Linked DNA regions of Xenopus tropicalis. The protein of the gene in region 1 interacts with the protein of each later gene in a pairwise test. Links are inferred from orthologs where the notes say so. Each region holds a gene or a part of one and is shown in the gene's direction. Other genes may lie near its edges. The genes, in order: syt4 and nbr1.

Region 1 (3,836 bases):
GGCAGAGTGCTAATGAACCGGGAAATCAATAAAAGAAATGTCCGGGTAACTTATTTCATATGTTTCTCTTTATTAGCACATTTATTGATTTTTGCATTAATCTTTAGAAATGAGAAAAAAAAAATTTGGGGGGGGGGGGGGGGGGGGCGGTCCACACGCTTTTTCTTTTGATTTTATCAAAAATTCAAAATTTTGAATTTAAATTCAAATTTTATCAAAATTTTACATTTATCATAAAAGCCTTCAAGTTCAGGTATGGGATCCTGTCTCCCATAGACACCATTTTAATCAAATAATTCAGAATTTTAAAATTGATTCCCTTTTCTCTGTAATAATAAAACAGTACCTGTACTTGATCCCAACTAAGATATAATTACCCCTTATTGGGGGAAGAACAATCCTATTGGGTTTATTTCATGGTTAAATGATTCCCTTTTCTCTGTAATAATAAAACAGTACCTGTACTTGATCCCAACTAAGATATAATTACCCCTTATTGGGGCAGAACAGCCCTATTGGGTTTATTTAATGGTTAAATGATTCCCTTTTCTCTGTAATAATAAAACAGTACCTGTACTTGATCCCAACTAAGATATAATTACCCCTTATTGGGGGCAGAACAGCCCTATTGGGTTTATTTAATGGTTAAATGATTCCCTTTTCTCTGTAATAATAAAACAGTACCTGTACTTGATCCCAACTAAGATATAATTACCCCTTATTGGGGGCAGAACAATCCTATTGGGTTTAATTAATGTTTTATTGATTTTTTAGTAGACTTAAGGTATGGAGATCCAAATTACGGCAAGACCCCTTATCCTGAATACCCTTGGTCCTGAGCATTCTGGGTAATGGGTCCTCTACCTGTACTTTTGCTTTCATGAAAAATAATGTTCAAATCTAGACCACTGTTCACAAAGAAAAACTCAAGTTTTAAATTGTAAAGAGTAAAGTAAATATTTATATAATTACACTATCTTCATATTTTATTGAAGCTAATTGGTAATTTTACAATTTTAACTGTAAAAAAAGTAGGAATTATTAGGAAGTTATTTTTGCATCAATGTCATCTACATTGTTAATATAAATAGTTTTATGCAACTGTATTTATTGTATGCATTTATTTATATCCAAGTCCCTACCATTTACATTAATATAAATATCAAACCCGATTCCTTTTAAATATTATTTTTTGTTTGCCTTTAGAAATCAGCCGGACGTGGAGAGCTGCTAATCTCTCTTTGCTACCAGTCGACAACAAATACTTTAACTGTTGTTGTGCTTAAGGCTCGGCATTTACCAAAAGCTGAAGTGTCAGGATTATCAGGTACTGTTTTGTTCATCTAAAGGGTCTGGAATATAATATATGCTTGGAATATGGATTTGGGGATTCTGTTCTAGTTCTATGATCTTATTGTTGTTGGTACTTATAGCTATAGACATCTAAATAATAGCTCCATGTTGGATAATAGCTCCATGTTGGATAATGGCTCCATGTTGGATAAAAGCTCCATGTTGGATAATGGCTCCATGTTGGATAATGGCTCCATGTTGGATAATAGCTCCATGTTGGATAATGGCTCCATGTTGGATAATGGCTCCATGTTGGATAATGGCTCCATGTTGGATAATAGCTCCATGATAAAGCTTATCCATTAAGTCAGGGATCCCCAACCTTTCTTACTTGTGACCCACGGTCAAATGTAAAAAGACTTGGAGAGCAACACAAGCACCATAAAAGTTCATGGAGGAGCCAAATAAGGGCTGTGATTAGCTATTAGGGAGCCTCTATGCACACTATCAGCTTACAGGGGCTTTATTTGGTAGGAAATCTTGTTTTTATTCAACCTAAACTTGCCCCCAAGTCAGGAATTCAAAAATAACTCCCTGGTTTGGGAGCACTGAGAGCAACATCCAAGGGGTTGGGGAGCAACATGTTGCCCCTGAGCCACTGGTTGGGGATCACTGCTGTAGGCAAATCAAAGAAGAAACACCATACAAAGGGTTTTTATTCATCCAGGTCACGGTATATCTAGTAGAAGTTGATTTAGAGCCAGTCCAGTTGCTCTAGGCTCACTTCTACTAGCTATAAAGCAGATGGTTACTTAGTCAAGCTGTCTTTCCCTAATGATCCCAGTGTCACCTTCAGCATCAGTTCTTGGCACAACACCACTCACTGACTTGCAGCCTCTCTGGTTATTATACTAATAACTTCTAGTATCTGGATTCATTGGTTTCCTTCTTTCATTTTCTGGTTCCCAGACGTAAGGACCATGATTTTATTCTTCCTACTTTGGGAAATTTATTAGGATAAATTAATATCATAATAACAGTAGTATACTCCCCTGTAGGGGCATATAAATTAGGGATACTTGGTAATTGTATCCCTTGGTGCTTGGAACTCGAAATTCCTCAAGTTCTTGAGAAATGCATGAATTTTTTACTTTTTAAAATACAGGTATGGGATCCCTTATCCGGAAACCCATTATCCAGAAAGTTCAGAATTACAGAAAGCCCATCTCCCATAGACTCCATTTTAATCAAATAATTCACATTTCTCTATAATAGTAAAACAGTAGCTTTGACTTGATACCAACTAAGAACAGCCCTATTGGGTTTATTTCATGGTTAAATGATTCCCTTTTCTCTGTAATAATAAAACAGTACCTGTACTTGATCCCAACTAAGATATAATTACCCCTTATTGGGGCAGAACAGCCCTATTGGGTTTATTTAATGGTTAAATGATTCCCTTTTCTCTGTAATAATAAAACAGTACCTGTACTTGATCCCAACTAAGATATAATTACCCCTTATTGGGGGCAGAACAGCCCTATTGGGTTTATTTCATAGTTAAATGATTCCCTTTTCTCTGTAATAATAAAACAGTACCTGTACTTGATCCCAACTAAGATATAATTACCCCTTATTGGGGGCAGAACAGCCCTATTGGGTTTATTTAATGGTTAAATGATTCCCTTTTCTCTGTAATAATAAAACAGTACCTGTACTTGATCCCAACTAAGATATAATTACCCCTTATTGGGGCAGAACAGCCCTATTGGGTTTATTTCATGGTTAAATGATTCCCTTTTCTCTGTAATAATAAAACAGTACCTGTACTTGATCCCAACTAAGATATAATTACCCCTTATTGGGGCAGAACAATCCTATTGGGGTTAACTACTGTTTAAATATTTTTTTTAGTAGACTTAAGGTAGGAGATCTGAATTAAGGAAAGACCTCTTATCCGGAAAACCCCAGGTCCCAAGCATTCTGGATAATGGGTCCCATACCTGTACAAATGTAATAGAAACTCTTGAAACTTGATGGATTTTTTGTGTATTGAACATAATAATCTGGTGCAATCACTGTGCAACAATAAACCAGACGCTGATGGGTTTTTCAAGCAGATATGATATATCTGATGTGTCCCCCATGCTTGTTATTCTGTGTGTGTATGGGGGAGGAGGGCGGAAGTCTAAACCAAATGATTAATGGTTCAACTAATGTGCTTCGTGCTGTCCTTTACATGCTATTATCTGAATCAATGGCTTCTCTGATGTATTGCTGATCTCCAAGAAGGTTTTTAGACTTTCAAGGAATTTCCAATATGTGTATAGGTAATTAATATTAAGGGTTGCTGGATATTTATTTTATATATTTTAAAGCCAAGCAGATTTTTTTGGGAGCTTAAGTGAAAGTGATCGTTACCGAGAAGTAGTTTTTTAAAAGTTAGAAATTGGATGTTTGAAATTTATATAAAAATAATCTTAAAAGCATGGGTTGGGCATATGAGCCAGAGAACATGAATAATAGACAACATTGTAGACATG
Region 2 (3,286 bases), on another chromosome or scaffold:
CAAAACATACGAAAAAGTCGCAAAATGTTCGTTTTCAAGTCGGAACTTTTCCAATTCGGGTCGGATTCGTGGGTTAGTAAATCAGCCCCATAGAGTTAAAATTGATGGAGATTTTTTTTTTCTACATTAATTATCGTACTTAATTAATGTGACTAGTGTTTCCAGGTTATCATTCTGAGCATGCTCATTTAGGAGTTGCAGTTCAATACAGATCATGAATGAATTCTTCTTTATGTTCTTATGTCCAACATATATCTTAACAATCAGTAGTGACAGTCTAAATAGTGACTGTCTATTGCATCTTATAGCAGCCTCTCTGGCATTTGTGAGAATCCTAGCCTCATTCCAACTGATCCCATGTAAAATTAATATAGGTTTACTCACTGATTTATACTCTTGTTTAATACTCTTCACTTATTTGATGGTTTTCTGAAAGATTCTTCAGATGAAAACACATCAGCCTTAGAGCCTACAGCTTGTGCCCCAGCACACAATCAACAGACTGATCACGCAAGGTAACCCAACAGTTAATCATGGTTATATGGAAGATTACATAGATCATGTATCCAAGATAATATTGGTGATTTCCCATGGATGCACTTCAGTCTTGTAACTGTATTAAATTCATTGTGTATATAAACTTTCACATTGCTAAAATTATGTGGGTCTATCGGCCTTCTACTTTGATTACTGAATTTTTTACTTGAGCCAATGTCATGCCAACATGTACCAGTTTGTATTCTTGGTTTGCCAGCTTCCTTGCAATCTCATTTCTGTTTTTTGAGATAATAAAGGAAACAAAATAGTTCTGTTATGTTTAATGCATGTTTTTGATTTCCAACAGACAACTCACCAGTGTCAGCATTGCCGGGGGTCTTGTGAAAGGTGCCCTATCTGTTGCTGCTTCTGCTTATAAGGCTTTATTCTCTGGACAACCAGAGATAAATCTGGTGAGTGCAGCAACTCTGTCAACTTTAACCCTTCATTCAAGTGTTCATAGAAAGGCTTGCATGCATTAGTTAGTGGCTAAATGGTTAGTGTTATGGGCAAAGTATCATAGAGCTTTTGTTTTCTATGTGAATGTTGTTAAAAAAAACAGAATGGAGAATATGAGCTCCATGTATTTGAAGAAAGTAGGTCCCGCCTTAAGATGCCAAAAGTTAACAAATGATCTCCTGAAGTCAGATACATTAGATAGCTTTCAGAAAAGCTAGTGGTGCTCTGTACCTGCCCATTATCAATATATATAAGACATTAAGACATTTTGTGTAATGAGCTACTAAGGAAATGCCTTCCCCTTTAAACAAAACAGGTATTGCATGAGGGCAGAGGAACATTTGATTTTGTATGTATGTGCGGTCACAGCCTCATTGCCTAATGTTTTAAATTGTAGTGGTGAGCACAACTTTCTCTTTTTGCTATAGCTTTAAGAAAGGGTTGGATGCCGTTTTATAAAATTATAAAGTACAAAGTTAACGAAATTAGCACTTCAAGTACAGAGTTGATACAGGGAGTGGTGCAGTTGCCATTGTGGATTCAGGAAGGAATTTTTCCCTTTCCGAGGCAAATTGGAGAAGCTTTAGAAGGTGTTTTTAACCTTCCTCTGATTCAACTAGTTAGTCAGGGTTCCCAAAAATATTGAATTGGTGGAGGCATTTCCAAAATCTTTTATTATTACCTATACTATGTTAAATATTCTATTTAATGCCAACAACTCTGCTTGCTTCTCCATCTCCAGCCAAGAAATTCAGAAGAACAAGACAGAGCCATGATGGCTATCCTCCTCGAGATGGGATTCTGTGACCGCCAACTCAACCAACGCCTGCTACACAAGCACAGCTACAACCTCATGGACGTAGTGACCGAACTGATCCAGATCAACGACAACGATTGGTACTCTGCTCGTTACTGAACTAGAGAAGAGAGCTTAGTTCTGCCCTTAGACATTTTGAAGTAGAAAAAAAGCAGATGTATAATGCGTTGCTAGCAAGACACATCTTTTTATTTGGCCCTATAATTTCCATTATATTTCCATTACTTTAGTTAAGATTCTCTGGAAGAACAATATTTGCATCAAAAAGAGTTTCCAGCTCTATAGATAAATGTGCAATGAGCAAGAAGTGCCCCTTTGGTGTTGGCTGACACGGGCTTGGTGTTATCAGACTGAATGGCTGATACTGGAATAAGGAGTATCAATACACAGTATGTAAATCAAGTCCTGAACTTATTAGGAAGTAATTCTATTTCCTGAAGCAACATTGATTTAAAGGCTCAGAATATGAATTTTCTCAGTATACTAAGAGCTGCAAAGATTTAATTTAAGGGCAGTAAGTGGGAAAATCCTGGCAAGATCACAGAGATTTTCATGAAGCGGAAAAATCTGCTTTTGAAAAAAACAATGTTATTTGTGAATGAATGTTTCTGTAAATAGATGTGGGGAAAATGATAAATAACTAGATGAATACTGTAAACAGGGGCCACTTTTGGTGCACTCACCAGCAGATGAATAAAATATCTTTCACTCTAAAGATTTTGCCTCACTTGTTTCTTCTGGGTTCTGTGTGTGTGTGTGACTATGTCTATCATGGGTCTTAAACAATTTAAAGACTATTTTTGGGTAAATGATCTTCTTCCTTTCTCTTTCATGCAACAGTGCACACAAACAGCTGCTGCCAGTCCGTTTATATGGAGCCTTAGTGGAACAGCATGCAAAGGTTTCAAAGGCTGTTGCCCTGTTCCTAATTAAACTGCCTATTATAGGGCTCATTTACAGTGCCCCATTGTGAAAATAGCAACAGGCATCTGTGGCTCCCTTCACTAATTCTACTGGGGTTCATTTGATTAGAGCTCTGCCCCTATATGTTTAAATAATTTTTAACAGACCTAAGTCATGGTGATCTAATATACAGAAAGATATCTTATCTGGAAACCCTCAGGTCACAAGCATTTTGAATATATCCAATACACGTATTATATATATATATATACCCTAGTTTTTTCAGATAAAGTATGACTAGTTTGTGCAACATATTGTGTCCTTAGTATCACTTATAATAAAATTTATAATATTATGGTTTATGTATTTATTGATGGAAAAAGTAATGTATTGGAGTGCTAAAATTTCTTAAAGGAAAATGGGACAAAGAAGAAGAAATATCTCAAGAGAGAAAACTGGAAATGATAGGTCTAAAAAATCAATAATAATAAGTAAGTTTATGTTCTTTTTTATTAACATTTTTAGAGAATTTTTACAATTCTGATACAATAAAAAAAAGGAAATATATAT

Evidence for each region.
Region 2: the proteins of syt4 (region 1) and nbr1 interact in binary tests that used the Homo sapiens proteins (3 or more experiments, as listed by UniProt). The two-hybrid records come from large-scale screens. The link is inferred for Xenopus tropicalis from reciprocal best matches to the Homo sapiens genes SYT4 and NBR1.

What each region holds. Positions count from the first base shown.
Region 1 is NC_030677.2:207,891,705-207,895,540, forward strand, and holds part of syt4 (synaptotagmin-4), read left to right. Parts: coding exon 1-45; intron 46-1,206; coding exon 1,207-1,327; intron 1,328-3,836. UniProt on the Homo sapiens protein: Synaptotagmin family member which does not bind Ca(2+). Involved in neuronal dense core vesicles (DCVs) mobility through its interaction with KIF1A.
Region 2 is NC_030686.2:19,645,743-19,649,028, forward strand, and holds the end of nbr1 (next to BRCA1 gene 1 protein), read left to right. Parts: intron 1-436; coding exon 437-515; intron 516-844; coding exon 845-950; intron 951-1,738; coding exon 1,739-1,912; 3' UTR 1,913-2,528; downstream 2,529-3,286. UniProt on the Homo sapiens protein: Ubiquitin-binding autophagy adapter that participates in different processes including host defense or intracellular homeostasis.